Linked DNA regions of Lytechinus pictus. The protein of the gene in region 1 binds, or shares a complex with, the protein of each later gene. Links are inferred from orthologs where the notes say so. Each region holds a gene or a part of one and is shown on either strand. Other genes may lie near its edges. The genes, in order: apoptotic protease-activating factor 1-like and caspase-3-like.

Evidence for each region.
Region 2: the proteins of apoptotic protease-activating factor 1-like (region 1) and caspase-3-like are in contact, whole or in part, in a crystal structure (PDB 4RHW), measured with the Homo sapiens proteins. The link is inferred for Lytechinus pictus from reciprocal best matches to the Homo sapiens genes APAF1 and CASP9. Residues at the interface, in NP_863651.1 of Homo sapiens: Thr22, Ser23, Tyr24, Met26, Asp27, Ile30, Ser31, Ile37, Glu40, Glu41, Arg44; in NP_001220.2 of Homo sapiens: Asp23, Trp26, Asp27, Leu30, Arg36, Pro37, His38, Glu41, Gln44, Arg45.

What each region holds. Positions count from the first base shown.
Region 1 is NC_087253.1:17,657,122-17,674,074, forward strand, and holds the start of apoptotic protease-activating factor 1-like, read right to left. Parts: upstream 7,491-16,953; 5' UTR 7,403-7,490; intron 829-7,402; 5' UTR 821-828; coding exon 659-820; intron 1-658. UniProt on the Homo sapiens protein: Oligomeric Apaf-1 mediates the cytochrome c-dependent autocatalytic activation of pro-caspase-9 (Apaf-3), leading to the activation of caspase-3 and apoptosis. This activation requires ATP. Isoform 6 is less effective in inducing apoptosis.
Region 2 is NC_087258.1:6,430,012-6,447,441, reverse strand, and holds the start of caspase-3-like, read left to right. Parts: upstream 1-9,911; 5' UTR 9,912-10,005; intron 10,006-17,430. UniProt on the Homo sapiens protein: Involved in the activation cascade of caspases responsible for apoptosis execution. Binding of caspase-9 to Apaf-1 leads to activation of the protease which then cleaves and activates effector caspases caspase-3 (CASP3) or caspase-7 (CASP7).

The DNA.
Region 1 (16,953 bases):
GGGGGTGGGGACTCGAGGGGGGGAGGCACTCATGTACATGTATAATGGCATTATGGGAATGTGCTGCCCTAAAGCCCCCCCCCCCCCCTTTCACCCCTTGCCAGCAGTTCCCAAGCATATCATTTTCACAACTTTTTCATTGATTAACCACGTTTCCTAAGCCCCTCAATTCATCGTCGGTCAAAGACTCAATTCCCCCCCCCCCCCGGCCTGGTATTACACTATTGATCTTGCACCATGAATCTTCTCAGGACTCCTTATAGTTAGTTGCCCCCCCCCCTTCCCCTGGCCTATTCCGCGTAAAGCCCCCAGTGTATAATCTAGGCGGAGGCAGAAGCCATAAATCTTTGCTGCTTATTAACTACACCTGTGCGATTGATACGTTATAACTTGTGACTACAGAAACCCATAGCCCATACCCCCTTGTCTTGCTTTCGTCATTGTTTTCTTATTATCAAAGAATATTCATTGAAAGTTTTTTGTTTACTATTCTAATCCTAATAATAATTATAATAAAAATATTAATTACAATTTTTTTATATTAATAAATAATTATTTAATAGATCATATAAATAATTATTTAATTAGTATAATATCTTTATAATTATTATTATAATTATTACAATATGAAAATAACTTCTGAATAATGTTACCATACCTTTGACATGATAAGCTCCACATCATCGATCTCTAGGACCATTTCGGCTATGAGATGATCAGAAATAAACTCCACATCGAGATCATCGATGAGGGACTGGCGGTGACGCCGTAAGTTCAACCTCGCCAGCTCCATCATGGGTGCCATGTTTGCGTCCCCCATTACTGATTCTGAAAAATTTGTCAAATAAAATCATTAATCATATACAGTACATGTAGATAGATTCAGTAAAATTCAGAAAATTATGTGCAGATATAGATCTACATTTAATGTAATTAAGGTGGATCCAAACTTGGAATATAATGAATTGTGAGAAAGCAAAAATATTGGAAAAATATAATGGTCAACCTGTGAAAGAATTTGGACAATTCATAAGGGGGATATGGAACTTTTAAAAATATGGGATTACTATTTGAATCTGGCTACTTGATTATAGGTGCTTTCTCACAATTTAATATATTCCAAGAGGGGTAGAAGTGAAAAGTGATGAGGGACATTTTCCCATTTTAAATCATCATTGTGGTTTTCTCTTTCTTCTCCAGGACAGCATGTAACAGATAACAAAAGAGATACCGGTAAATGAATCATATTGTCCTCATGAAACAAAAATATTTGAATGAGTCAAATAGTCAGTTTTATAATTGCTTAAAAATTTGTTCGTTCAGCAATCATCAGAAAACCTCTCAATCCAAGTTGTGTTAATATGTTGAATAAACTACATAGCTGATTTAAACTACATCCGGAACTGGCATTATTTGGCTAAACCTTGTAAGCCAAAAGTAATACTATTTTCAATAATTTGGGTCGACGGAGAAAGGTCGTCTTTTTCACTGGGTAAGTTTGTTGGGACATAAAGTACATTATAAACCTCTCCTTAAGAATGTCGAATAATCCGTTCCTCTGATTGGTCAAAATTGAGGTCATGTAAACGACCATGCCTGCAAAACAACAAACTAAGGTGGTAACCAAGGGCAACGGGCATAGTTAACTAGATTTCTGCCCGTTGCCCCCTGACCAGCCCCTTAATGACGGGCATAGCAAAATTTGGCTGAGATCCCCATTTGATTGCATGCAAAATGTTGCTTTCTGCGGTGATTGCGGATACCATAAATATCCGTGCGATTTGATCAAAAGTTTTAGACAATTCGCGTATTTACGCGCTTATTGCGCATACGGATATGACACATCAATGGAACGATGCCGATCGTTGACTTTTGCTTTGCTAAAAAATATGGCATTATTGAAAAGAAGACTAACTTATTAAGGACATAACGGATGTATCAATCATCAAGTCTTGTTGCAGTTGTTCGTTCAAATGCATGCTCGCAAAAGGTGAGTCGGGTGAAAAGATAAGACGGCCACTGCACTTTCTATAGCCTAGGCCTATTACTCGTTAGGTAAGACAAACAACAACGTTCGTTAGGTCTAGATCTAATGACAGCGTTGTCGTTAGATCTAGGCCTAACGTTAGCTAGCTCAGAAGTTAAGAGTAGAGTCTAGACTCTAGATCTAGACCTAGGCCTAATGTTTTGTTAAATTCTTAGATCTGACATAGTCTAAAATAGAAATCTAACGTTAGATCTGTTATTGTTAGACTCTAAATGGAGATTTAACTAAAATTGTTAATGTTAGATCTATTCAGACCCTAATTTGGTTCCTAAAATATGTAACGTTAGGCCTAACGTTACCGGTACCGTATGGACTGCTTTGATATTCGACTTCGAGACCTAACGTCAGGGGCAGGGCTAACTTAGGGCCTAGGCCCTAACGTTAGCCTGGGGCCTAGGGCTTTTAGGCCTAACTTGTTTAAGATCTAGATATTTATAGATCTAGACCAGCCATTCTCAATTAATTTTGTTGAAGCGCCAAATTTCTTGTTGAGAATCTGGACTGCTCCACTATCCAACACGCGAAGAGCGAAATATTGTGGTATGGTGGGGATGCAGGACCACCTGAAGAGCAGAAAGCCTTTTAAATGGCCGAGAGGGGTTCTCAATCAACAGAAGATATAAAAATACCAACATACTACACAATTTATTTTAAAAAATGATAAGTGACTTGCTCAAATTAGCGTTAATTATTATGTTTCTGTATTAAATTTTGTTCTTGATGAGGGTCGTGTTTAAAAAGCAAACCGGGTATGTTGATCAGTGGTAGAGCGTCAGCCTCATGAACGGGAGGCCGTGGGTTCGATCCCCAACAGAGTCATACAAAATATATATATATATATATAGGAATGGAACCTTCTGCCTTCTTGCTTGGCGCTCAGCATTTAAATTAGAGAAGGGTAGTAATAACATACATGGAAATGCAGGGCCCGCTGCAGTTCCCTAACTGAAATGGCTACCCTGAGTAAATAAAACGTAATTATGATTATCATTGTTATTATTAAAAGCACTGTTCACAAATCTATGTTCACATATTATGTACATAGTCTTTGTACCAATCGTAAATGAATACATTAAATAGATCCTCCATAATATAGGGGTTATCGAATGCTAGATTACACAAAATCAGAGGAAATCAAATAGCATTTAGATTTTAAAAAGAGCTGAGTTTTTATTTTCCCTTTGTGATTAAAGGATCAAACCTCAATTCTAGATTAATAGTAGATCAACCTTTTATTTTCTAATGTTTTTTCTTTTTCTATACCGGCTCCCACGCGCCACTCCGGAAGGCTCGGTGCGCCACAAGTGGCGCGCGCGCCACCATTTGAGAATCCCTGATCTAGACTATATATGGACTGCTTTTATATTCGAGACACGGTTGTTTCTTTCGGCTCGCGGGTACCACATTGGCCAGACAATGCCCTTGGGCATAGTCGCGTTGCGGTCCCCTTGAGCCTCTAGAAACAACCATGCCTCTCAAAGCAGTCCATATATCTATACTGTACATGCTGTATGAGAATGCCAAAATTTTATTTATGTTCATTGTTAGACCCTACCTAATTGATTTGAAGTAGATCTATTCTAGGTATAATTCACTCTATGTTTTTTTTAACAAGGCTGAAGCCTTGAAGAAAGCAAATGTTATCAGATTCAGAGTCAGACATCATGCATCACTTGCTATTCAGTATTCCATGAATCTAGTTTTAGACTTTAAAGTTTTGAATTGAAAATTTGAAGCAAGAATCAGTTGAGTTGAGCAATTAAATGAAATGAAGTGACTAGGTGCTAGGTCTATTACTCTCCAGAAGCCTCCATGCGCGATAGAATGACACAAGAAAATAAAATGCTCCTTAGAATTTCGTTTGTGAGTCACGCATATTAGGCCAAGTAAAAAAAGAAAGTAGTTGATTTTCCTCGCGCGCATCTATCTTGGCCGCCGCATAAAATTTTTTTCCACTTACTATTTCAAAAAATTGGCAAAAAAAAAAAAAAAAAAAGTGATGTTTCTCGTCCGCGCCTGCTTCTCTCTTTGATTGCCGCATCAATTTTCTTGATATTTACTATTCTTATGGCCGCTGAAAAGCAAAAAAAATTCACAAGATTGGTGAGCGATTTGCTCTCATGTACTCTGGGATCTCTCTCGCAACTTCATTATCTCATAGAACAATTGCAAAGTCTGATATCGCCATAACTGCAAGAAAGAAAAAAATTCTGATTTGTTTTTTTATTGGTACTTTTGAAGATACAATCATATAAATTAACGAGAAAATAAAGTTTGCCATTTTGACAAGAGTTACGGCAAACTTTTGTACATACCATTATTATCCTTTTTCATATTAGGAATAGATACACAAGAATAATATTTCATATATATATGTATACATATTGGTAATAATATCATTATGTGAGAAGTGAGATTTTTTATTAATAGAGTCAATGGTGACAATAGTCAAATATGACTAATCGCCACTCAAACCAACATAAGAAAAAGAAGAAGTTTGCAAACTCGGAAAAGATCACAGATTTCTTCATTTTTAGTGCATTTTCGGGGACCCCGCTTCCTAAATCTGAACTAATCCGTCGCGTGCTTTGGAAATATGGCGCAGATAAATCAATTTTATTTTTAATGACGTAATTTGTATTTCAGCGGGGTTTTTTGGTGAGTGATAGCGCCTGTACTTCGATGTGTGTTACGGTGAATGAGCTGTGCTTGTGACTATGGTGGGTGAATGCATGTGTGCTGGGATGATGTGATGGACTGTGCTGGCGCGACATGTGAATTTGTGAAATGAATTGAATTTTCTGGCAAGTTTTCTTACGTCAGCAGGCAATGCATTGAATATTCAAAAAACAATTTCAAGTGGGTTATTCATTATCAAGATTGAAAATCATTAATGGGATTCCAGTCAGTGCCAATTCTGTTCAAATTTGATAAACTTCATTCTTCCTTGAGCTATTCAATTTGATGGACAATTGTAAAAATTAGTTAGTAAATGGATCTGTAAACACTAACAAATATTGAAATAATAAACATTATGTGAACAATTAATTCAATAATCATTTAACATTTGATATCAATAAAAAAAATGAATAAAAATTGAACATTATGTAAACGAATATACAAGCAGCTGGAAACTAAACTGAAGCGAAACCATGCCCAGAGCTGAAAGAGATTGGCTCTGGAAAACTAAACATGGCTCCATGGTAATAAAAGCGACCCCCCAAGCATTTTTTACCCTTACATAATGTAGAATGATTAAATCATTCACTTGACATGAACATTTTTTTTACAATAATAAAGTACCGGTATATATTGATACATTAATAGATTTTTATTCCATACATTTTCCATAGCTAGATTTCCAATTAATCGTATATGCATATATATAGATATATATATGTTTCTACTCATTTATCATTAATATTGAGCATGCATCGATCACATAAATCGAGCCTGACATGTCCTGACAATCATTTGATTAAAAAATAGCAAAAAAAATAGTAAATAGTAAGGACCTCGGAAAGAGTTCCATTTGCACCCCCCACCAAAAATAACAAAAGATTGTTGAGACTTCCGGTTCGTTCACTTCAGATTTTTCTATCATTTTTTTACTGTTGCTTACCTTAGTTGGGACTCGAACTCACCTCGTTTGATCTCCAGTCAAGACCTTTCCCGCTATGCTAGCGAGAAGCGCTGATACCGGAAAGGGTATTTTTACGATTATCAGCCGATAGTTCGACTAGTCTTGACTCGCAGACCCTTTACTGACTAAATAAACCGATGTCTATGGACAATTACACGCACAAGATCTCGCTCGAAATTTGACGGAATAAAGCCATATTTTGGTATGTATTTCCACTTCCCCATCATATATGTTCGATATTAGGGCTAGATATATTATTCTGAACCTTCTGCATGTTTTTATTTTCAATTTTAGTGGGGGGTGCACATGGAACTCTTACCAGGACCACTCTAGGCGACACCCCAATACTTACCCGTGCTAATAAACTGGGACTCCACTCACGCGCGTTTGGGCCTCCCTAGCTTAGAACTAAGCACTAATATCACCTTAAAAACTAAATCTACAAGGTATGTATAATCTATTTATAAATTTAATAATGTTTAATCGGTACTCACCGGTTCTTTTGTTGCATTTTCAGACCATTTCTCACAATTCTTCGTAAATATTTGCGGCAAATTTTGTCGCCATAGACAGCTTAGCGTCCATCTTTATTGATAAATGGAGCGCCCTTTACGATAGTTGTTAATGCCGCGGAGAAATCGTTAGGCATTTTGGCCTGTGTTCAAGGCGTTCTTTCTGTTTTATTTTTATATTGAAGATTGTGCATTTGTTGAATAGCGCCGTCTACGTCAGGTATGAGATCGAGTGTATAAATACACTCTTCCAAAATAATTATGATTCCGACCTGGCGCTGTTTAACTTCAATCTCTTTCACCTAAATTAGCGATGAATGCTAGCATTATAAAATATATATTATTAACGTCTGACGAAAAGAATAACCAACCGATCAGCTGACGAGAACGCGAATCACGTGATCTTCATATCAGCTTCGATCGCGAGTCAGAAGAGAGGAGCAGTTGCCCAGAAAATCAGGAAAAAGCCGTGAAAATGTAAGTTCCCCTTCATTTCTTTCAATTTTTTTTATTGCTAACAATGTATTCAATTAGTGAGATCGAAATGTAATGATTAGACAGTACGATAGCTTGTAGTTTTGATAAAATACAAAAATAATCATCTTCACAAAGATTTCTGACACAAAATACTACTGATGTCGCCTATGAGGTCCATACATGTAATGTTGGACCTCATTGGTACTAGGAGTGACCAGGACCTCCCTCATCATCATCATGTCATGTCAGACTCAGAGACAGAGTCAGACACATGATCAATGTAAAAAACGGGCCGAGAAAATGTCTCCTTGTTTTTCAAAAAAATAGTAAGATAGCAAATAGTAAGGACCTCCCTCATCACTGCTCTCAAAAAACCCGGACGATCTACTACTAATACTATCTTTTTTTACTTGGCCTTATCCATGTTATCAGACCAGGCAATCCATATGTCCGCGGCGGTGTGGGTGTGCCAGTCAGCAATCATTCTCTCCCTGCGGGCGGGTCAGGCGTCGAAGTTTGACGAGTTACGATAGCAGACGCGAACCCCGCAGACGCGACGCTTCAGTTGGGAAGCAGAAACTAGCCGTATGCTACGCAAAGCCAAAGCAAGGCAAATCATTGAAGGTCATGCTCAGAAATCTCATATTTTATTAAATTACACTTCAAATAATCAAACCTCTTACGAATTCTTAATATGAAAAGTTTTTAATCTGGCAATCTTACCTCTTAAGCAGTTAAGTGACGTCAAACTTAAGCTCTCCTCTTGCTTGTCAAATCTTGTTTTGTTTTGCTCGCTCGATCGCTAGACTATGGTGTCTTAAAAATGAGAAATTAGAGGAAACTTACGGTTCTTGCACTGGAATGGATAGAATATTTAGATATATACACAGGTGTTGTTAATTTCAGTGATTCATTAAGTGCACTTTTATCTTTACAGAATCGGAAAGACGATCCTATTATCACAGAAATTCTAACTATTAGTACAAGACTCAAATATAAAGGTATAGAGATATACCTGGAGTGGATCCCTGGTCACTGTGGAATAAAAGGAAATGAAATATAGCAGACTCCTGCGCAAAAAAAGCTTTATCAAACAAAATAGAAATTCATAATCAAATAACATTATCAGAAATTATGCAACTTATTTCAAAAAGTTGTAAGATAATTTGGCAAGAAAGATGGAATAAAACTAACTCAGCACTGAAAGAACTGCAACCATCAGTGCTATCCACATATAAATGTAATCTAGGGAGACAGGAAACTGTACTCCATCGTCTCCGTTTTGGAGTCGCTGGTCTTAACCAAGATCTACTAAGATTAGGGATCCATCAAACAGGGTTTTGTGATAGATGTCCTGAGGTAGAAACTGTCAGACATTATCTTTTACATTGTCCAAAATATACAATTGAACGATCAATGCTCCTTGCAGAATTGAATGAATCACAGCCTCGACAAATAATGGAGTATTTAAAAAAAGATGATCCAGGGATACAGAAAGCATTTTTACGTTTCGTTTCAAGAACGAAACGTTTTAGTAAGGAGTGATATGTGCTATTATTATATTGTATTGTTTATAAGAAATAGGAAAGGATATGCTCGTATATAAAGTTTTATGTGAAAAAAAAAAAAATATATATATATATATATATACATACATACATAATATGTATATATAATATGTTCTGCACTTTTAACTAACCGAGCCCACAAGTGTTTTCGCCTTGTTGTTGTTGTTGTTGTTATTGTAAAAAAAAAATATATATATATTAATGTTTAACCCATCTGTAAGCACAGGTACACTAGCGCCCCCTCGTCTATGCATGGGTGACCTAGGCATTTTTATGTCCGAAAAATCGGCACAATGTACCGTGCTGACCGGTATGATTGCATCTTAGAAAGGGCAGGGCAAGCCACTGAACTAGATACCTCTAGTTCAGTGGGGCAAGCGCAACTAGTTGGAACTGGACTGAAGATAGCGGTTTGTTTTTGGTGAAGATTTGTTTATATGCCATTTTGACAATAGTTAAGACAAACTTTTGTAGACCGGTATACTATATTCATCATTTTTATAATAGAAGGATGCACAATAAAAATATTTCATAAATGTATACATCATATTGGTAATAATATGAGAAGTGAGATTTTATAGATAAAGTCAATGGCGACAATAGTCAAATATGACTAATTGCCACTCAAACCAACATAAGAAGAAGAAGAAGGTAATTTCACAAATTCAAAGGGGATGTCTCATCAGTCTAACCTAGCCAGGAATAACCGTCGTTTCTGGGGATTTATTCAACAATTTCTGACATTTTACTATCATCCCCATTCATGTATTGGTGAGTGGAGCCAACGTAGTTCAGCGGAACAACCAGAATACAGAGACTGAAGCTTTTGGTCTAAGTCTATAACCAGAAAATCGTTCCAAGAAATTTCGAAATGATGGAAAAATTGACGCAAATTTGTGAGAAAAACAAAAAAATCACGAAATGGGTGGAAAACTCGGCCCGCGGTCCGAGACCCCGTCTCGGTCCCCCATCAAAATAACAAACAAGTCTATTCTAGCTGTTGTTATTATACATTGTCGTTTATTCTTCATTAAGTTTCATGATTATTTAACAATGATATATATTTCTATTATATTTTGCTTCATTAGAAATACCTCCAAAAATATCCACAGAATTGTTGCATGCATTGTGCACGCTGCCTAGTTTTTTTTTCTCAAGAGAACTGGTATACTTTTTATTAAAAATAATCCAGTTACAAGTTCAATCTAAAATCAATTTCGAAGTAATTCATCACACATAATTACATTCGAGAGTCAACCAAGGGGCCTAAAAAGAAATCTATCAACATAAATTATATTTGTTTTCTAGACAATTCCAATACCTGTGAAACGGAAGGGAAAATGGAGAGCAAAAAAACAAATAGGTGGGTCCTGTATATACCTCTACCGTCTTAATTACTCAGTTTAAGAAAAGTTGTTTTACCACCCCGTAACAAAATACCCGCTTTCTTTCTTTCTTTGGCTTTCTTTCTTTAATTCTTTCTTATGCTTATGTATATTGAATTAGGGTTAGGATCCCTAACTCTACAGACGAAATTCATCCACCCCCCCCCCCCCTCCTCCCCACGCGCAACATTTTTCCTGATATTAATCTGCCGCACAATTATTTTCTTTTAAGAACATCAGAATCCTATATAAGAGTCTTTGAACAAAAGTTAACTAAGGCGAACTTTTTATATTACGCATAAATTGGGGTTACAATAGGGTTTTATGTTAGGATTAGGTTAAGGGTAGGGTATAGTGCAAACCTCGGGTTTAAGTTGGTCATTCGATTAGTGCGTGGAATTTGGAGCGGAGCAATTGTCGCCAGAGCAAATGTCATGGAACCAATCTGGAGAGATTGAAGAGCGCCCTCATTTTCAACTACTACTACAATAAAAATCAGAAAAGTACCAGTGGGAAGAGGAAAATATTTGTCTCTTGGATACATTGCCGTGGCCGATTGGTCTACGGGCGCCTGCAAATATCAAAATGTCCGGGGTTTGATCCGGCCGCGATACCTATGCCCGTGAGCATGGCATTTGATCGACAATGCCCTTTTATCCTGTATTCAAATATTGTGCTTTATGCATTCTTGGTAACTAGGTGTGCACTTGTTTTTTTATTTTTTTATTCTCCCTTCTCATCTTTGCGTATATTGTTAAAGCCATTGGAAACCAAATTTCTGTGTATGCGTACATTGACCAACAAAAGAATTTTGAATCTTTTGAGATGAATGCAATAGAATTAACATCTTTTTAAATATAAAATATAAGATTTCTGTTAATTTGTTTTTGCGATGAACACCATTACGTACATAATATGGTCGCATACTGGCATCTAATTCGTTTTAATGAAGGCAATAAATGCATTAAAGTAATACGCATCATCTCTAATTTATAAGAAAATCTTTCCCATAAGGGCTGACAACATTTGTGACATCAAAAGCTATAGTCATGAAGCATGAATTTAGATTTTTTTTAATTCAAATTTCACAATGGTTCATGAATGAATGTCTCGAATTCATTACATATCTGATATCACCATTACTTTATCTACATAGGCCTAATGCACAGATGTAGTATTTACATCATGTAAACATATAGGATACACAACATAAATTTTTTTTAAAATTTGAACTCATGTCATCTTACCTCACGCAGCAACCGATTCACATTCGTACATGCGGTTTATGAAACATTTTTTTCTTTATTCAATTCAAATAAACATTTATTTTCTTCCTTTTCACACATTTCTACATTTCGTTAACATAAATTCATACAAAAATCAGTTTGCTATGAAGAGTATAAAACTGTACATGTTATGTTTATAGAAGGCGTAAGACCTTAAAAGCAAATGCTTATGGAGGGATACGCATGTATATTAGATAAATTTTGATCGAAGTGGACGATTCTATTTCTGTACGTGCAAAAAGACTGTATGTCATATCACATTGTAATACAACCCGGCCCAGGACATTTTCATAGAAAGGGGGAGGGGACACCTATAAACATTTTGTCGAACTGGCAACGCGGGAACCAGAACCAATATCCCTTTCATGTTCTTCTTTCTTCTCTCTTCCTCCAGCCCCTCGTATGTTCTCTTGCTGCAATTTCTTGTAAAATCATGGGGGGGGGGTCAGTTTCTCACTGAAGCGCCATCAAATCAATCCCCACTCACACATTATATAGGACCTATTTTCTGCTTTTTTCGAAACCAGTTTTGAATTTGAACTCATAACCTTACTTTACGTCCTCCCCAAATGAACATAATACAAATGCAATATGGTAGGCCTATCCGTACACTCAAGAAATCAGACATGGAATAAATTATCCATCTAAATTAAAGCATAGAGAAATCCGAAATCAAAGACAATTGTTTAACAAAACTGGTGAAATATAAGTTCATGTTGCATTATACACTGCAAAACATATTTGGGTAAAAATTTTAACCAGCACGAGGGTAATTATGTGTCCAACTAATCTGGGGCAGTATTTTACCCAATGCGGGAAGCAATCGAGTAAGGTTAAGAATGGGCACAATTTTCATCACACTGGATAAATGAAAATACCCCCCCAAAATGCTCAATGTTTATGGTTGGACACATAATTACCCTCATGGAGCATTTTACCCAATATGCTTTAGAGTGTAGAAACAAAGCTTGTTGAGTCTGCAGGATTTAGACTAGCCGTCAGATTAATGGCATGCAGATGGGGGGGGGGGGGGCATGGGGCCATAGACCCCCCCCAAAAAAAAAAAATCACGACTAAGAAAAAAAAGGGGGGGGGGGAAACAAAGTGAAAGTGAAAGCAAAAGGGTAAAAATTATATCATTTTATATATATTATGCCAATTTAAAAAATTAGTGCTTTGTTTTGAAAATATGAAAACAAAATCACTCGCTTGCTTCACTCGCTCGCAGCTATTTAGGATTTTCTCCCAAATATGCCATGTCTGACCCCTCAAGATTTTTGGCTCAGATTGCACCTTTACCTTTACAAGAATTGGATCATTGTAAAAGAAATCACTTTTCAAGAAAACTAGTTGATCATTTCGTTTGTTTTCCCCGTCTGCAAAGCGTATGTGTCAAACAGACATGTTTGCACCCAGTTTCGAAATACTTTGTAAAACACTACAGCGTCTGCATTACGCGGGGCAAGGGTTACGGCCAAGTATGGTTGCTTACTTTCTTTAACAAACAGATGATGAAAGAAAATAAAAAGAAATGTGGGGGAAAGGTAGCGATGGAAGAGAAGAAAGTTAGAGCTAGCATATAGGGCCTTTGGGAAACATTAGATGTAACTCAGGCCTACGTGCTTCAGGGTAGGGAGGAGCATTTCAGGATAATTTGATAAAAGGATGGGGTGGGGCAAGCAAGACAACATAAAGATGATGAATGATTATGGATATAGAGTTACAGACTGGCACAGATCTATCTTTATAGTTATATTCTTCGAATTTCTTACTTGTTTTCCATGTTCTCCTCATTATTCATTTTGATTTCACTACTGTCTAGAAAAAAATATTGGGGTGTTAGTCGCCCCCTGTGTACCCCTCCCTATACCGCCCCTGCCTACAGTACAGTCATTTTCTCACCGAAAAATTAAATGTTTACTCACCCCTTTTCAAAATCACCTTGGAGGTGCCCCCTTTTGAAATATTGACTTTCAAACATGATGCTTTGCTAGCTATAACTATAAATCGAAGTCCAGTGTTTGAGTATTATCGTTTTCATGGCTAACGCGAGAGTGAACTGAAATTGTCTTCTTCGTGGAGTTATTCAGAAGGTAATAATGCTTCATTTAATTTTATTCGATATAGATCCGTTCTTTGAACATTTTTTTATTCCTTTAAATTAATTTTATTAAATTTTGTTAGTACAGTTAGCAGGCTTACCACATGGAATACATTTTGTGTAATAACTGTAACATAAAAATAAAGTTCTCAAGATCTAAAGTGCGCTCCCAGGGCCAAGATGAATTGGGGAAAGTGGATTTTTGGAAGATTTATGTTTCGAACAATATGGATTTTAATATTCAAGTGAATAATTCTCCACAAGGAGAAAAAAAAATAACAAAGCACAGTTGAGCATCCCATGGTATATTCAGATGTGGTTGACAGTGGTTGACTGTGAACACAATTATAATATGTGATTATGTTCCTGAATGAGGAAAATACGTATCTTTTAACGTTCAACACATTAAACACTGTAAACACACTGTTTAATTGTTTAAGCATGTGATTTAACAACTGCTGTTTAAACTTTTTAAACAAATTGTTTAAAAAGTTTATACAACTTGTTGTGACAGGCTTAAACAACGTGCTATTTTTTTTTACTGTGAACATTCGTTATTAGTTAATAGACATACAGTGTTGCTAAAAAGTTAGTGAATCCCATCAGAAAATGAACATTATAATTATTGTTCAAGTTCCGGCAACGTTTAGATTGAAGTCGGATGATATGGTAAATTAATATATAACATTTAATGAAGTTTGTTTCTCTTGGCTCGCCGAACATCACAGTGTTGTTGTTTACAGTCAACACTCAGCTCATCATAATTATGAAGGAGTGCATTTTGTGGTGGGGTTCACTAACTTTGAGCACAACTGTATGGCCAAACCTTTAATACAGAAGTTAATATTTTTCCATACTTCTAATAAAGCACCGTAGTCTTTGATTGCTGACTGTCAGTTATTAAGTCAACTTTAGCAACAACGCATAACCCACACATACATCTAAGACGAATTGTTTTACAATGTCTAAAGTTCATGACAAATATCAGTATCATTAAAATGATTCTCTACATATCTATATCACTATGTTTTTATTATTTTTTTCTAAAGTAGAATGCAGAAGGGAAACGCTTCAGTCCCTTATTTACATTTCCTGAAATAGATCTAGTAAACATTTTTAACTAATATTATGCATTTTTGTAATCATTAATCTTTTCAATAATCTCCAGACATAGTTTAAGTAAGAACTTTTTATTTCAAAATTGTTTTATTGAACAAATAGCAATAAAGGAACAGTGTAAATTATGAGATAAATGCATTTTGTACATAATTTCGATTAAAAAAACTGGCCTTACAGCCCTTACTGGCTAAAGCAGGGCATGTGGACGCAAAACGCCAGTAACATAATATAATAGTATACGTATCCAAAGAGTTACCAAAATCAAACTATATTCATGAATGTTATGATTCATCCAGTAAACTTGAAATATATCAATCAGTAATTAATCTTTCACTGGTAATTTATGAAAATTGTAAAGTTGAGACTCATAATTCTCTGTGGTCGCGACATTTCACTGACCTCTGTTGGCTTCATCAGGTGAATGAACACCAGCACGTCTTTCCAATTGGATCGTCCAGATCAGTAGGCCTACTGTAACGCCACTTGCATTGGTTCCCGAAGGGCGCGCGGGAAGCGCGTTAGGGGTGAAACGTCACGACTACAGATAATTATGAGTTTCAACTTTACAATTTTCACATTTTTTCAATAAAAGATTAATAACTGATTGATATTTCAAAGTATATTCATAAGCAACTTAAAGTAAACATGAATCGACCTTAAAATCCTATAACAGCTCAACTGGTTTAAATTTTTCGTCTCAATTATATATAATCCCTTTCTCCTTCTCCATTCATCACAATTTAAATTGTTTCTATACATGTATACATGATATAAGTGCCATTTTCTAGGTGTCCTTACCTTTCATGCTCCTAAAAATAAATGTGTACCCTAGTATTCATCAGCTTCATTAGTGTTTTGTAATTTGATACCCTTTATTGTCAATTCGAGTTTAATTACATCTAATTCATCTAGAGTTAGTCTTCCTTTAATATTTTTTTCATAATTGATTTTGTTCATTATTTTTCTTGTAGAAATTCATTTCCCGAACATGATCCATAATGTCGAATATGTGAACAGACACTAACAACAAGTCTTGACTCCACTTGGGGTGTTATATTTTGTCATTTCGTCGCACGGCTGGCAGAAGGGCGCACACTCTAAATCTCATCTAACCTATGAAATATCAACTTATTTCAGACAAAGACTTAAATAAATGAATAAAGGGATAAAATGGAACATGCATAGTTAATTTAGTCTGAAATGAGTCGATATTTTATAGGTTAGATTTGATTTAGTGAGTGCGCCCTTCTGCCAGCCGCGCGCCGATTTGTGACTGTGGTCTCATTTTATTATTCTTAGAATAATCACCTTTTTTTAAAAAGAAGCAACATGGATTCGGGAACGGGAGATTCAGGTCCCCGCTATTTCGGCATCTGGGATTACGTCACCTTCGGCTTCATGCTTTTGATCTCGGCTGCCATTGGCCTGTATGCGGCGATGACCGGAGGTCGTCAACGAACGAACGAGGAGTTTCTCCTCGGCAATCGTCAGATGAACATCGTCCCCGTAGCGTTGTCGGTGGTCGTCAGCGTTCTCTCGGCGGTATCGGTGATCGGGACAGCAGCGGAGATCTACATGTATGACACCATGTATGTCTGGGTGGTTTTTACCAATGTGATCGCGAATTTCTTCCTGTGTCGACTCTTTCTGCCGATATTTTTCCGTCTTCGAATCACGAGCGTCTACGAGGTGAGATAAGTTCTCATTAAGGTGTGATTATGATTAATCAATAACACTACCAATAACAGAATCATCATCATCACAACCACCATAACCACCACCACCACCACCATCATCATCATCATAAATATCGTCAAAATCAACAACAATATCATCATCAGAATCATCATCACCATCATCATCATCATCATAATACCATCACCATCTGCCCATCAACATCTTCATGACCACCATTACACTCTAAAAACACTGAGTAAAATTGGACCCAATATTGGACAGAAAAAAGGGAACATGCATAATGTTTGCTGGGCATTGGGCTATTTCAACGCAACATTGCGTAAAATCATTTTACCCAACCAACATGCATGTTCCCATTTTACCCTATACAATATTGGGTAAACCTTTTTTTTTCGAGTGTAGCAATAAAGGACAGCCTTCTTACCAAATATATATGCAGATTGAAAAGTAAAGGAAGGAATATAAAAGCAATATGTTTAAGTACTTTCGACATGCTCATATAAATTTTCTTTCATATGTAGCAAATGACCTAAAACGATAATGAGTTGGAAATACAGCAACTATAATAATCATGTGATGGCATTCGTGATTGTGGATGATGATGATGATGATGAAGAAAAATATGATGATGATGATGATGATGAAGATGATGGATGTTGCTGCCGCTGATCATAATGAAGATGGTGGTCGTGGTGGTTGTGATGATGATGATGATGATGCTGCTGCTGATGATGGTGGTGCCCGGTGGTGGTGGTGGTGGTGGTGATGATGATGATGATGATGATGGTGGTGGTGATGGTGGTGGTCTTGATGATGATCTGATCGGGGTGATGATAATGACTGTTATGATGTTGATGATGGTGATGATGATGCTGTTGCTGCTGTTGATTAGGATGAAGGTGGTGGTGATCGACACAACCCAACCCTCTTTAGGTCATCGTCGACGCTTTCGAGGAGAGTATGTCTACACTTCCTCAAGATTCAAATGTGATGATTAAGGTGATGAAGGTTTTGGTGACGACCCTTTATGATGGTGGTGACGATGATGTTTATGATTGATTATGAAGATATTTTATTGTTATTATTGTAAAGATGGTGATGATGGTGAGATCAAATA
Region 2 (17,430 bases), on another chromosome or scaffold:
AGCTATATGTTTCTTGCTGGTTAAAGTTCAAGGGCATGGAATTAGAGTAAGGTTAGGCCGAAGTATATGAAGTTATTTCTTTTTTCCAAATTGATCGCGCAACTTCTGGTCGGGTCGGCTCAGGGCGGGTAAATCTTTATATCAATTTCTGCCGTCACCTCCATTTGGCAACTTCTCCTGCTTTTCAGCTAATTACTAAACAACCATAATTTGGGGGCAAACAGGTTCCTAATATAAAAAGAGGAAGGTATATTTAGATTCGTGTCGTATTAAATAAAAAAAAGTACAATATTTTTTATCGAATTCTATTAAACTTCATGCCACTTACGTTTTTTTATCATTCAAAATCGCGCTTCAGGATAAGTCTAAGAAATTGTACATCATCCTTTTTTATATAATTTCAATAAATCACAGAAGTTTCAACTTTTTGCGCACTATTTTCCTTGTAATGAAGTTCAATAATTAATTTAATTAGAGCCGATGGGGTATTAGAGATATCTGCATTTGATGAAACGTCCGCCCTTTGAAATATCAGAGTTTCATTGCTCTGCGCAGGGAAGAATATCTTCCTCTCGGCATATACCCTTCTTGCAGCACCCTTTTCTTTGCAAATTTTTTTTAAATAAAATGCTTTAGCTTCCGCGCTTCTCGTGGGGTAATTATTATTTTAATTTCCTCCATTTTATCCCTTTTTTGGGCGTTCACAATCACTTTTGAAAACAAGGTTCAAAATCACAATATAGTTAACTGAATTGGAGCTGATATAGGTACTAGAGACAAGAGAGACGGCTCCTTTTCATTTTAATTTGTGAAACACCGAAAGCTTCGCGCGGGAGGGGGAAACTCCCCCTCCCTGCACCCAGTGCACCCACCCCCTATAGGGAGCGCGCTTCGCGCGCTCTGTAAGTGTTGGCACGCTTCGCATTTACCGCCCCCTCCAAAATGAAATCCTGGCTACGCGGTTGAGGACTGGAAAGGAGAAGAGATAGAGAATAGCCTATATAAGGATAGGAGCCGGGAAGAGTAAGAGAGAAAAGAAAAGGAAATTAAGGGATGTGGAAATAAAAGTGAAAAAGGATAGAAAATAGGAGGGAAAAGAAAGAAATATAGAGGGGGAATGAACATTTTATTCATTAATTTATTTTATTTTATCTATTCGGTTTAAAACATAGATACATGATACGACGGATCCATGGTTTTTCAAAGCGGAGGGGGCACATTTTCCCGGCGATGAAAACATTGACAAGCGAATGAAAAAAGAAAAAAGGTTTTAACCAAACACTAAGGGGATTTTGTCCACACAAAAAAATTGACAAGCAAAAAAAAAAGGGGGAAAAAGGGTCTTCACTTTCAATAGGGGGGGGGGGGCACATTTTTGTTTTAACGGCAATTTTACATTACAAATTTTAATTGTGCCTCTCAAGCCGGGGGGGGGGGGCAAGGGCCGGTTGTGCTCCCCCCTGGATCCGCCAGTGCATGATACAATAAAGGTCCGACTTCCAAGGACCAAACCGAACATGTTTGCAAAAATTATAACATATTCATAGATGAAAATGAAGGGAAAGGGGAGAAAGTGAAAAGAAAAGTGAAGGAAATTGATATAGCCTAGGGTAAAGAAAAGGATGGGGAAATGGGAGAGGGAGAGAAATTGCAAAAAGTAATCATTTCAAATCATATATAAAATGAAAATCCACTTGCACTTCGCGCTCGAATGCATAAAATGTCACATTTTCACGTCAATATATATACACAACAAAAAAAGTAAGTCCCCCCTAAATCAAATTGCTGTAACTTTTGAACGGAGTTATTTTGAGATATGATATTTCGTAGGAGGTTTTCTACACTTATTAAGCAACTTCTGGGGAAAAATGAGATTGATCGGTCGAGTCATGCATGAGTAATTAAAGATTGAATTAAAAATGACCATTTTTGAAAGTCACAAGAGTCGTTTTTCAGATTGTGCAAATACAAAGTTGGGCAAAAGTTGTTTTTAGGTGAATTTTATGGTGTTATGCTGTTTTACTATCCATCATTTAGCCACTCCACACACGATTTTGATATCGTATGTTCATGGTTGAGTGAGCACAATATCGCAGGGGCCGCGGAAGCGAGGTGGGGGGCCCACTTTTTTTTCCAAAAGCATGTACAAAAATGTAAAAATGACCATACGATTGTGATTTTTTGCATGGTCAGTGGGGGACTTTTGGCTCAGCCCCTCCCCCACACTTTGAAAACCATTCCGCGGCCCCTGTATTGTGACGTATCATCATAGAGTTTTTTTGGTAGTATCGTCTACAACTTGTTAGGTCATATTAGAATTTGAAAATGTTGGTGGCTCCCCCGATTATAGGCCCCTCCCCCATTTTTAAATTCTGGATCCACCACTGATTTGTCCATAAATTAAACTGATCATGATAAATTGTTAGGAAAAGAATACATTTATGCAGTATAAAGAGTATTCATTCCCAAGTTTTCGAATGTGCTCGCTCAACCATGAAAATGTTAAAAGTTCGGAAAGTGTGTGGTGATAGAAATGATGGATGATAAAAACAACAGCAATTAAAGTCACATTTGAAACCGAATTTGCCCCCAATATTCACCTTATTACCCTTTAAAATGAGTCTGTGACATTGAAAATACCCATTTTCCCACTTTGATGCGTGCTCACTCATCCGTAAATAAACAAATCGATTTCATTTTTGCACAGAATTCTGCCCATAGGTTGATAAACATTACTGCCAAATGACATTGCTAAAGACAGCCTTGAAAAAAAGTTTCACCATATTGAATAAGGGGTTACTTATTCTTAAACATATGCACCCATAATGTACACAAGTCTATGAGAGATGAAGTCAAAATCTTAACAAATATGAAATAAGGGGTTTGTTTCATGGACGGTTTTTGTTACTTCTGCCAACAGTTATTTCATGAAACTTCGCACATGGCTTCAGAGTAACACTATCCAAAAGGCGCGCACACCAAAATAACAATTCGATACGGCACAGAGTGGGGCCAAGGTCTTGAACTTTCTTCTCATTTGCATAATTTTCGAATATTGTGTGCTCGCTGATGCATTAAACATCGGGATTTTCATAAAAATCAAATCAAATGAACTATGCAAGGAGGTTTGTGACAGATATCCATAGTTACAAATTGCATTTTTTCCAATAACGTAAAAAAGAGCTAATCACATTCCACATGTTCATTCAAGCGTGGATATTTAATTAAACGCCTTTGAATCATTGAAGCATGTTAATTGGTCATGAACATAACGAAAAAGTTGAGAAAAGATCATTTCCAGTTACCGAAATGAAACAATACTTGCCTATGATATTTGAAAATCGTATTTTTTGTTTTCAATAAATGTTCATTGAACCGTGAAACGATGAATATTGTTGAAGATACTCTTCCCAAAAATAACTGTCATCATATTCTATCATTTTTATTGATGAAAATGTGTAAAAAATCCAATTATAGCAAATTTGGACTTGTGTTTATTCAACCGTGAAATTTAGCCAAAAAAATTGTATCGTCTTTTAGAAAGTACCTTTTACAAGCCTTCTGACTGTTTTTCATGTTGAGAATGTAGAATCAGTTCCAATAAAATGGAATCAAAGTCGTGATTTTTGGCTTGTGACTTTTGAAAAGTGACATTTTTGCCTTCCGACGGTGCTCACTGAAGCATGACGTAAAATACGTCCATAACATTTACTCAGAGGGTAGCTTATAAAATTACCTACACGCTCATGTAAAAACATATCAAAAACTCGCATTGGTTCGGAAATTATTGATGTTTGTTCAAGGGGGGACTTACTTTTTTTGTTGTGTATATAAAAAGAAATAGTTGATTTTCACCAGTTTGTTTTGTTAAATATATGATCACAAAAAGGTGCTTGACCCCCCCCCCCCTCCCCTCCCCCGATCAATATATATATATATAGGCCTATATAAACTTAAGTTTCATTTTGCACTAATGCCCTGGGCACGATTTTTTTTATTAGTTTATTTATTTATTTTTTTGTTCAAACGACGGAAAGTTGTTCTTAAAAAAAACATATGCATACACATAATAATATGAATGCAATAATAGATGAATAATATTCTTCCTTCACTTATTCCTTATTACTCTACGTTGCGGAATTTAAAATACTCAAGTGAAAAAATATATTTTCTTTATAATCAGGCCTTCTAGTGAGGGCCAAACATTCAGGACCCTGCATAAGAACGAATGACTGGGTTGCTGATATAAATCTGAAAGCAAAAAAAAGGGGGAAAAAAAGGTTTACTACAAAATGAAGGTCATTTTGGTTACATTATTTCCATTTTAAACATCTCCCAGAATACCTGGGGGTGCTGCCTATGGAATAATACACGCAGCACCCCTTTGGCATTTTTTTTTTTTGGGGGGGGGTGCTTCAGTACCCCCGCTTCCCAGGGCCATGGAAATATCGGCGCTATACCATCTGTCGCTTCCTCGAAAATAATGTCCAACGGCAGCCTCAGTAAATCGAAACTAAAGTGATTGGTTTGCAATTTACAGTTAAAGCCAGCCTTATGGTCAGGGGCGGAAATCTCTCCCAAAAGGTAGAGGGGACACAGGGGCGGATCAAGCCTTCGCCAATATAGGGGGGGGGGGCGGCGGAAATTTTTTTCAGCCATAATTTCCCCGATCGGCAGCTCGACTCAAGATGATTTTTTTTTCTTTGAAGGGGTAGTCCTCATTAGTCACTTCTTAGCTTTATTCTTATAAATTGATACATAATATCATAATCCTTATTTATATGATGCGAGCAATTTTTTTGGAAATTTTATGTTTTTTTCCTAAAATTTGAACATTCTGGGCAATGTTTGTTATCCTGAAAAAGATGTGTAGGCAACTTAATAATTACTACGAACGCAAAGCGCGAGCACAAATGAACTGATGGAAAAGATACCTGTTAAAGTAGCATTTAACTATCAAATAATGCGAGCGCGAAGCGCGAGCTAAATTTTTTTTTTACTTTTTCACCTAAAGAATGGAAATTTTAAGCACTTTTTGTAACTCAAACAGAATAAGTATATAAGTAAACAATTGATGCGAGCGCGAAGCGCGAGCGGAAAATTTCGAGATTTAGTCCTATAATATTTACTGAACGAGACACTCTATTCATGTTTTGTAAATCATGAAAATGATGAGTATTAATAATGCTAGCGCAAAGCGCAAGCAGAAAATTTTTATATACGTTTTGAACTGGTACCTGATGAAAAGGTAACTGTTAAGGACTGCTTGCACTTAGCCATGAAGGCGTTACATATTTCAACAATAAAAAAATGCGAGTGCGAAGCGCGAGCTGAAAAATTTTGAACTTTCTAAAGAAAGAATGGAAAATTTTAATCAGTTTTTGTAATCGTGAACAAAATAGCTATATAATTTAATAATTGATGCGAGCGCGAAGCGCGAGCAGAACAAAATCGAGATTTAGACCTAAAAATGGGCCACTCTGTTCATGAAAAGGATGAGTAATATGGGGTCTTCCTATACATTATAATGCGAGCACAAAGCGCGAGCAGAAAAAAAATTGATTTTGTGATCTGAAACTGGATAATGATTTAAATAGAGGACAAGTTGAGTATCTGAATAAACATGCGCGCGCGTGTTTCATATTTAGACCTAGAATCTAGGCATTCTAAATGCATCTTTAATCATGAAAATCATGAAACTTTGATATTCCGATCTGAAAAAAAGAGTCAATTTCAGCTTTATATTTCAAGCACTTTGTAGAAAAATTGTAAGGTGGATATGGATTGCACTTAAAAAAGAGCTGATAATTTCATTATTATTACTCTGAGTTTTGACATTGGACCGGGACATCCTTACGACATGTCATCATATGAAAATGATGGCTATCTTCCTATTCCTCTTGCTAAGCGAGATGAAACAAAAGGGACAATTTTGATTATTAAATTAATATCATATTTATCAATGCCTAATGAGGGCGCGAAATCTGATGATATTATGGCATAAAAACTGGACATTTCACTTTTGTGATTATGAATAGAATGCATCAATTAATATATTTTAACCATTAATGCGAGCGCAAATCGCGGGCTAAAATTTTTGATAAACTGTTATGAAAAGGGGATTTTAAGTAGTTTGTTGTATAATCAATATTGAAACATATATAACTCGCCAATCAAAATGCGAACTTGCAGCGCGCTAGCTGATACGTCTTAACAATCAGACCTGAAAAGGGATATACACGAAAATAATAGATACCTGATAAATCAAAATTTGCGAGCGTGCAGCGCAAGCAGCGAATGTTAATATTCAGACCATAAAACTGACATTTTACAGAGCACTTTTTAAAAATCAATTTGTAAATCACACAAAATAATGAAAGTTCGATTTCCGAGGTGAAATATGTTTTGTATATTGACTTCCAAACTTGACATTCGAGCTCCATACCGAACAAGATATGTAAGTCATCTAACAGGCAATGCGAGCGCGCAGCGCGAGCGAAAATTTTATATAGTGGCACGAAAGATTCTTTTTATTTTCCAAGTCTTCCTCTCATCTTATTTTATGCACTCGTCGTCGTCCTTCTCTTCTTTTTCTCCTCTCTTTTCCCTCCTTTATTCCTTCTTTCTTTCCCTTTTTTTCTTTTTTTTTTGCTCCGCCAAGAGGGGAGGGGGGGGGGGTGGGCCCCTCGGCCCCCTGGTCCGCCTACGGGGACAAGGGGCGGGAAAATTTGACAAGCAAAAAAAAGGTTATCATCCCAAAAGTAAGGTCATCTCGTCCCAAAATACATGTTTTATTTCGATTTAGAATGATGTATTTCTTACCATCATAAAAGACCAAAAATAGTAGGGGGGACATTTGATATTGTGTCCCCCCTACTATTTTGAGTAGGGGGGACACGTCCCCCCTGTCCCCCCTGGGATTTCCGCCCATGCTTATGGTCTATCCCGGGGGGCCACTTACATTGACGAGTGGATACCATGCGCGACCAAGAAAACACGTAAAAAGGATGTCTTTTTTTCAAGATAGGGCACGTTACGTACGTAACGTGATTAGGGTGTCAAAAACACAAAAATAATGAAAAAAGGGTATCTATTTCGCTAGGAAAGCTACGTGTTTAGGGTCACATTTGCGGGGATGATCAAACAAAATTAAAATGTTGTATAAAGGATGTCCTTTTTGCCCCAACACTACGTGTTTAGAGTCCCGATTTGCGCGAGGTGAGGAAGGTGGGGCCATACTAAACCAAATGGTGTGTAAATTAGATAAAACCGACGACCGCCGGACCCGTGACACAACAATAAAATATCGCTGTATACTTGTTTAGGGGTTCATTTCAGGGAATACTTGCCAAGAGTATAGTTTTGTTTCCAATGCTTGTTAAGGGTAGGGTTTCAGACGCCAATATACTTGTTAAGGGGTGCATTTTCAGAACATGGAAAATACGTGTTTAGGGTGCTTTTCGAGACCCCGTGGTCGCGCATGGTATCCACTTGTCAATGGACCCCCCCCGGTGGTCTATACATCGAAATTAACCTTTAAACTCCTTCAATCAATATTAAATTCACTGTATTTCGCATACTAGGGGTTTTGTGCATACACACGATAGACATTTTGAACCCTAAACTAAACACTTGTACAAACCTTTTGGGGTGTAATATTGCACCCAAACTTAAGTGGAAAAAGGTGCCAAAATACACCTTTCTGTTATTATTTGCACCCAGAATGCTAGTTTGCACCATAAAAGGTGCAACTTTTCACCTTTTAAAGTGCGTAATGCTTAACATTAAAAACAAATGCAAATTTGAATATTTAATACATGCATGGTTCAACTCATCTTTGGTGCACAAATAAGCACAATTACACTCACTGGGTTGCTGCTAAAGTACCAATTACCCCTATAGGATTCAAATTTGAACCTCTTAGGCCCGTATTCTGAAGTCGGGTTTAACTTAAACACAGGTTTAAAGTTGTGGTTTAAGTATGGCGAGCCAATTGTTACATAAATCACTAATAGTAGAGATATCATACTTCAGCTCATTTGGCTCTCAAATCATTCATAATTGTCTAGGAAGTATAAAAAGATTATTGGCTTCACCATCGATGAATCTGGAAAGAGCACAGTAAACATAAGAAGCATACAACTTAATAACAAATTTGATACTTTTGGCTTCCCATACTTAAACCACAACTTAAAACCTGAGTTTAACTTAAACCCGACTTCATAATATGGGCCTTAGTGTGCATGTAAGACCGCTCCGGAAGATGAAGGAGCAAACGAAAGAAAGAAGAAAGACTTAAGATTCATTGGTTCATGTCATTATCAATTTTAATCATAGGCCCTATAAATAATAAAATACATATAAATAAATAAGCAAACAAGAATACCTGATGATCTATCAGCTGTAATATCGATACGAACGAAATTAATAAATATTTTTTTAAATCAAATAAGAATCATACACAATTGAGTGTATGTTGAAAAAAAATTATACAATAAAGATACCAGCTAAGAAACATAGCAGCGCAGGAAGTGTATTATGAAGAGCTCAGTTGCAATAGGGGTTAGGTCCACTTTTCATCAAATTTGATTTGTTTGTCTCAATGTATAGATTTTAAGTACCTCTATAAGATGATACCAAAGAAAAGTTGAAATTCCCATCAAAAACAAAAAATGGCAAAGAAAAATATTTTTTTTTTTTCAAAAGGGGTTAGGCCCATTTCAGTTTGGTTTCAAAACATGGACCTGGCCATGGAGGATTTGTTACTGGGGGTACTGTGACAATGCTAAGCACCGGCCCAGTAACAATCCCTAATCCTCCGTGGATAGGTCCCTGTTTCAAAAGGGCTAGTTTCACAAAGAAATGTTTTGGAAAAGAATATTTAAAACAATATGAAGACAGGTAGATTTCTTTTATACCCAATTTTATGTTTCATGGTAGGGTATCATGAAAATTTAGTGTCGCATAAGAATATTGCAATATGGGAGAATAATAATAAAAAATGATTTTCTTGGAGTGGACCTACAACCACTTTTGCAACCAAACTCTTCTGAAGAGCTCAATCGTCAAAATGGGTTAGGTCCATTTTTCGAAAATTTCATTGTTTTCTTTCTCAAAACCTATAGATTTTTAGTCGCTCTGATGATACCAAAGAAAATTCGAAATTAATTAAAATGTGAATTAAAGTGGCAAAGAAAAATCACTTTTTTATTCAGAAGAGATTGGATTCATTTAAGTTTGCTTGCAAAACGGGTTACATGTAGGTCCACAATAATAATCAAAAGTTTGAAAAAAAAATTTACAGAAAAAATGAGGACAGGTAGACAGTACGATGATACACTACCTGAACCTGGTGGACTGTACTTTAACGGATGATGATGATGATTTCTTTTATACCCAATTTTATGTTCACATGATAGTACGTATAGCCTACGTATCATTGCAGTAAGTGAGAATAAAAAAACATGATTTTTTTTTTCTCGGAATGGTCCAAAGTGAATCAATAAGCAAATGAACGACAGTGGGAAGGGGTCGGGGGGGGGGGGCGCTCAACCCACGGAGAAAGAATGAGGTACAACATTAAGAAGTGCGGTGGACAAAGGAAAGGAATATATTGAAGGAAAGGATAAGGGGAAATACAGTATGATGTCATTGTCTGTCGAGTATGTTAACATTTGTAAAAGTTAGATTTTCATGTAGGCCTCGGGCTATAAAAAAATCTTTTTATAAATTAGGTTAATCTAAATGTTATTTTACTTATTTCGTATTGTTTTGTTTTTGACAAGTTAAGTTATTTATCTCGCCTCATTCAGATACTAGTAGTTGCGAGGATAATTGTGAAATCTTTATCATTCTAAGAAAATCTTATCCAACGCAACGCGCAGCCAGCGGCCGGGGAAATCCCGAGCGATGACGTACCGTTTCGCGGCATCTTTTTCTCACACATATATATATCTGAGCTGAGCCGACATTACAATTATCTTGAAAGAAAAGGTCTCCAAATTTGTAAGTAATTCGGTATTATGTCGTTCTTCTTATTTGTTGTTTAGAAACAAGTGTCATTATTGTACTTTCATTATTAACGGTAACCTATTTGTTTCAATTTGTCGAAACGAAAAGGAGAGGAGTCGCTCTGAGTCTGACTGTCTGACGACTGGAGTTGACTCACTAAATATAGTTTCACTGTGAGGTGAGTATATTCGTACCGGGCCCAACGTATGTGCAAGGCCCGTTTTTTAGCACTTGTGCAATTCATATTATCGTATCACGGAATTATGGTATCCTCGTAGGGACATGGGTGTATAAGCATCGCACGCGCCGTGAAATGAAATTACTCTTTTATAGTTTGGACAGTGTTGGGGCGGTGGCTGTTCATATTCTTGCTATTGATATGATACTTGTTAGAATTCAGTGCAGCATGATTGATACTAAACCCTATGAACCTATAGGACTAGAGTCTATGGATCATTTGCAGATAATTGTGAGGAGTGATGATTGTTGGCAAAAAGATAAGACAGCCGTCTGTTTCAAGCAAGCCTTGAAATAAAGCAGCTGCAGACCAGGGGCAATTTTTCAAAAAAAATTGCCCCCGGCTCACGGGCTTTTTACAGGAACCGGGGGCAATTAAAAAAATATATATATAACGGTGAACCACACCGCAAATTTGTTTATAGTAAGCGCAGCTCTAGACCAAAAGCTTCGGTCTCTGTTATGTTGGTTGTTCAGCTGAACTCCGTTGGCTTCACTCACCAAATACAGAGACCGAAGTTCTAGCGCGATCTGTACAGGGGACTCAATGGCAATATGTTTATGTACTTAAGATCGGATAAAACGGGGAAGTGAATTTGCGCGACAGCCGAGGTAAGTCACTGTTTTTGTTCCTTTTAACTTGATTTTTCTCCGTTTTTTGGCAATTAATGCCAAGAGGGAATATTAATTTGCATTTTGGTCGCCTTAATTTTCAAAATTTTTATTCATTAAAGACAAAAATTGAAGGTCCCCGACGGGGGGATTTTGCATTGCAAGTCCCCTAATGGTGGTTGCACGCTAGCGAGCCGTCTGTGTACGAGGAGAAATTAAAATAAAAAAAAAGTTAAAAAACTCCTCGAAACAGACGGCTGCCAGCTGTCTAGCGCAGCTCCTGCAATTTTTTAATTAGTACATGAATAGCATGCTAAGAATTGGGGTTATTCAAACATTTAAGAAATCAGATTTTAAATAAATGTTAAAGTGTGTTTTGACACCCTCACTCCACATCCCCTTTACAACCACACACACATGGGCTTATTTATTTTTCATCTTTGATAAACCGCGAACAATGAACCCTCCCCCCCCAAAAAAAAAATCTAAATAAATGAATAAATAAAAATATAAAAAAGAGAGAGAGATGGAGAAAGAGAGAATTCAGATCAAATAATAGTAAATTTAGAAAAAATTAATAATTGTTAAGGTTTTTTTCATGGTTAGAATCACGGGTGTGGGTGAGTGTTTGTGTGTGATTGTGACTGTGAGGTGCACTTGGATTGCATATAAATTATGTTAAAGAAATGAAATCAATATCTAACTCAGTCTATTCAAATTCCAGCACATAGCCACAGGCTATGTATGTATTGTAGGTTCATGTACCTTAAGTTTTTCACAAGTTATTTGAAAACGCAGATCTCCACAGAAAATGCCTTTCATTTTTGGAGAGTCTAAATTCGGTGAAAATGTATTCACTAATAACTTAAATATTCATCACAATGAAGAAATCATAAAGTTTTTTGACAGTTTTCAAAAATTAACATGAAATCTAAACTCTATCTGAAATGGAAAATCACCATCACTTGGGCCATTACTGATAAAATTCTCACCCAGAGCTCTGGCAGAGAACATGAGCTCAAACTGGATAGCTAACACCACACTCAAGTGCACGGCGTCCTATTTTTTTTTAGATGGAGCCTTGTTTGATGATTTATTGTCTGATATTTACCCCTCTCCAAGAAAGAAATTAAAAAGCTATAATTCACAACTATAAGCTAAGTGATTTTGGATTATTAAGGCTCTGTTTTGACAAGCAAAGTCGGCGACTGAGGATAAAAGACTCGCATATCGTATGTGCTGTGAATAGGGATTTATCTCCTGTGCAATTCGAATTACTATATCGCAGAATTGTGATATCCCAACTGGAAATGTGTGCTTTAGAAATTGCACATGGTGAAGTATGGAAAAACCGCTACCGGAAGCACGCGCGCACATGTATTACAGAAAAAAAAAGACGGACGTAGCTCACTTTTCATGGTACAGAAAAAAAGACGCACTTGGAAATTTGAAACTGCTTATTGTAAATTGAAAGTTACTTGATTTTGGCTTTTCAGATATTTAAATTACATGGATGATATGGCTTCACTGCTCACTCACGGCGGGCGCAATTACCTGGAAATTATTTGCGCCCGGTCGTCAAAATTTTGATGATTTTGGGGCTTTATGGGCGCAATTTATGGGCGTAGGGTTATTCCTTGACTTCTCAAAAGCGTTTGATACAATAGATCATGAAATACTATTATGTAAGCTATCAAATTACGGTATCAGAGGGACAGCTTTACAATGGTTTAGGAGTTATCTTACTGATAGAATTCAGTTTGTTACAGTAAATGAATCAGAATCTCCAACAAGGCCAGTATTCTTGGCCCTTTGCTATTTGTACTTTATGTTAATGATATGAAAAATTCATCTCATGTTCTCTCATTGATTCTCTTTGCTGATGATTCCAATATTTTCTTTACACATCATGATCCACATGTACTTGTGAGCACTATGAATGCAGAATTTAAAAAAGTAACAAACTGGATTAAAGCCAACAAACTGTCATTGAATCTGCAAAAAACTAATTATATGCTTTTTAGTCATTCATTGAAACATCTACCGCATCAAATACTTTTAGATAATACTGAAATCAAAGAAGTGCAAACAACAAAATTCTTAGGTCTTACTATTGATCACAAGCTTATGTGGAATGCTCATATCAACAATATTTGCAAAACTGTGGCAAGAAATATTGGAGTCATCAATAAGCTTAAAAACGCTCTTCCAGCACAGGCGCTATCCATGTTGTATTGTGCATTAATTCTACCATATCTTAATTATGGAATTCTGGCATGGGGTAATGCCTCTCAAACGAGACTCAATAAAGTCTTGCTACTTCAGAAAAAAGTACTGAGAATAATATGCAATATGTCCTTTAGAGCTCATACAGATGAATTGTTTCGTCATAAACGTATCCTTAAAGTCAATGACCTGTACCGCTTGCAACTATTCCAATTCATGTATAAGCTAGATAGAAATAGTGTACCTAATGTCCTACAAAAGAAATTTATGAGAAACAATACTTTACATTCATATAATATGAGACATTCAAATGACTATCACTTACCCAAAAGTAGAACAGTATTTTCTAGCAAAACTGTATTTTTCACAGGACCAAAACTCTGGAATTCTCTGGACAGAGTAATAAAAGAGGCAGCTAATCTAAACCGATTTAAATTACTCATCAAAAAAATTATTCTGAATTCTTATTGATTCAATCCAATATTTTGTGAACCTCATACTTACCCACGGTAGTATTGATTGTTTTAAAGTCAATATTTAATTTTGTATATAGTGTAAATACATTTGTGTTACAGTGTTTATATATAATTTTATAGAATTTTGCTGATTATTTTACTCTACTTATATCATATTACCCTTGTATAAAATTTTGATAGGGGGTCTACATTTTACAAGCTTTGCTTTTTAGTAGGCCCCTCCACTTTTTTCATTTCATTGCTACGTTTCAATCCTGTGTGTTATGCATTTTTTTCAGTGTTAAAATGATTTATTATAAATGTACTTTGATGATTGTGGAATATGAATATATCAATAAATAAATAAATTGATGGCTTTATGAGCACAAATTTGTGCTCAGCGCCCGCTTATTTCAAGGCTTGGTTTCAAGGAGTTTTTTATTTATTAAAATATTAAAGGAGAATTAAACTCTTGGAGCAAGTTAGCTTTTGTGAAAGCAGAAAAATCAAAGAATAAGATCAACAAAAGTTTGAGTAAAATAGGACTAGCAATAGAAGAGTTATGAGCATTTGAATGTCGAGATCACTAATGCTATGAAGATCCTCCCATTGGCAATGCGACCAAGATCTATGATGTCACAGATGAACAACTCTCCCCTTTTGGACACTGAAAATATACCCCAAAACATCTCTTTTTGCTCATTCTAATCATATGACAAACGATTCATCAATGATATAATGTTGTGAAACCTCTGTACTTGTCCTCTCATAAAGAGAACACCTCACCTTGTGATAGACTCTATAAAAGTGAGAATATAAGTGAAATAAGTACTAAAGTAATGAGGGAGTTGTACGTGTGTGACATCACAGATCTTGGTCGCATTGCCAATGGGAGGATTTACATGGCATTAGTGATCTCAATATTCAAATGCTCATAACTTTCTTATTATTCATTCAATATTCCTCAAACTTTCAACAATATGTTTCTTTGATTTTTCTTTTTGATATGGATTCAGCTGGTTTCAAGGGTTTCATTCTCCTTTAATATTAACATTTTTTGTTCATTTCTTGTACACAGACGGCTCGCGATTGTGCAGCTGCCATTAGGGGGTTAACAATACAACCCCCCCCCCCCAACTAGCCAGGAAGCTCCTTTCACTAATGTGTACTTAGTAACTTACTCTCCACGGAGCCAAGAATTGTGTCCCATTCATGTGCGTGTACCGTGAAAAAAGCTGAAATTATCACCCCCGAGATTTCTACTTTCCTTCTAAAAGATCTAGCCCTAAATGATGGGATACAACTTCATTTCCGACATTAATACGATGTTGATTTCATTTTTAAACAACAATTCATAAAAAACCGAGAAAAATATTTTGAGAAGACCGAAAAAAATTGACGATGTTTACGTTGCCATCTTGTACTTTGTTTTTTGCCAAGCTACAAGACGCATATCCTCCTGTTGCAGCGGCAACGCCATGGCCTTTTCTAATTTTTAGCTCGTCCGGCCCGAAGGGCCAAATGAGCTTATGCCGTGGCGTGGCGTCCGTCGTCTGTCGTCCGTCCACAATTTCAAAATGCTACTTCTTCCCAATTTCAATTCTGTTTATATGATAGCACTAGGTGGGGATTCAAAACTTCTACACAGAATTTTGAAATTATTGCTAATTTATGCGCATTTTTCAAAATTCACAAAAAAATGCTTCTTCTTTATTTGTTGACCGATTTTGAATTTGTTGCTTCCATCTGGTAGAGCTTCATGAGGTTCACCAAACTTTTACACAGAATGTTGAAATTTTGACCAGAACAATTTTAATGCTTATTTATGCGAAATTAATTTACCCGGTATGCATATTTTAAAAAATTCACATAAAATGCTTCTTCTTTATTTGTTGACCGATTTTGATTTTTTTTCTTCCATCTGGTATAGCTTCATGAGGTTCACCAAACGTCTCCACAGAATTTTGAAATTTTGACTAGAACAATTCTTATGCTAATTTATGCGAAATTAATTTATTCATATTTTTGAATTTTGAAATTTTAAGTAGAAAATTATTTATGCTAATTTATGCGAAATTTATTCATAAATCACAGAAAATGCCTCTTCTTCATTTGTTGACAGATTTTGATTTTTTTTCTTCCATCTGGTAGAGCTGCATGAGGTTCACCAAACTTGTCCAGAAAATTTTGAAATTTTGTCTGGAAAATAATGCTAATTTATGCAAAATTTATTCATAAATCACAAAAAAATGTTCTTCCTCATTTGTTGATCAATTTCAATTTTGTTTGCTTTATATGATAGCTCGAGATGGTGATACAAAATTTCAACACAGAATTTTGAAATTCATTAAATATGCTAATTTATTTATATATTTTCAAAACTCACAAAAATTATTTATTTGTTGATTGATTTTGATTATTTTTGTTCCATCTGAGAGCTTCATGAGGTTCACCAAGGTTCTACACAGATTTAAGAAATTTTGTCTAGAAAGTTATTTATGCTTAATTTATATGAAATTTATTCATAGATCACAAAAAATGATTCTATGTCATTTCTTCATCAATTTCAATTCTATATCCTCAATTTATGTCACCAATATAATTCACTACAGTGTCAACTGGGCTGAAATTAAAATTGTGTTAAATTTTGTTGCGAGATGCCGGATGAGATCCACATCATTGATGTGCTAGTTTTAATATAATTGATATAGGCTTTCCACTTTTGCTCTCCCTCAATAAAGCAGTATCCCACAATCCGTTGCTGACGTGGCTGTCTACTTTATCTGTTATGCCTGTACTTTTCTGTGGTTGAAATGCTTGTAATTTATTTGATTTTGTTGGACATGATATGGGTGATGGAGTCTAATGAAGTCCAACATTGGCATTCTTTTTCCTTGAGACGTGAGTGATAGGTGACAGGGATAGATCTAATTATCCTGGGACCTGTTTCTCAACACCATAAGTCTAACTTCTTGACTAAATCAGAGTTACTGTAGTGGGCTACTTGTCCGCTAATTGTTTCACGGAGCCCTCTTTGCTAAGATTCGGACTAGCAACCTGACTATTAAATGCAAAGTGTCCAATGTATACAAATCACTCCGCACCGTAGATGACCTCTTCGATGTAGGACATTAACATTCTAATTGACCTAATAAATTTGTTCCTAAAATATTTGTAAAATACTTGTAATTTTTTCCAATGGATGAAATACTAGATGATATAAATGAGTCCGTTGTGTAGCTATACAACTTGCGTAACCTCATCTAGAGCAACCCTTATTGATAATATATTTACTGATTGTGTTCAATACAATTTCTGTTCAGTAATATTTTGTTCTGTTTTCTCTGATCACATGCCAATTTACAGCATTAACAAAGTCAAAGCAATCACTACTAGTAAAGTAAAATGTTTAGACGTGTTATTACTGAAGGACAAGTCCATCCCAACAAAAAGTTGATATAAATAAAAAGAGAAAAATCCAACAGGCATAACAGTGAAAATTCATCAAAATCGGTTGTAAAATAAGAAAGTTATGATATGTTAAAGTTTTGCTTAATTTCACAAAACAGTTATACGCAAGTCCTGGTCGGATTGCAAATAAGGAGACTGATGACGTCATCCACTCACTATTTATTTTGTATCTTATTATATGAAAAAGGAAATATTCTAATTTTCTCACTGTCAAGTGAAACAACAATTGATTCCTCCCTGAACTTGTGGAATTAGCTGTGCTATATGATTCTGTCAATGTGGTCCTTATTGACAAATCTGTAAAAAATGAAATATTATATAATTCAAACAAAAAACCAAAATAAATAGTGAGTGAAGGACATCATAACTGTCTCATTTGCATGTCACTGGATTGTGCATATTAATGTCTTGTGAAAAA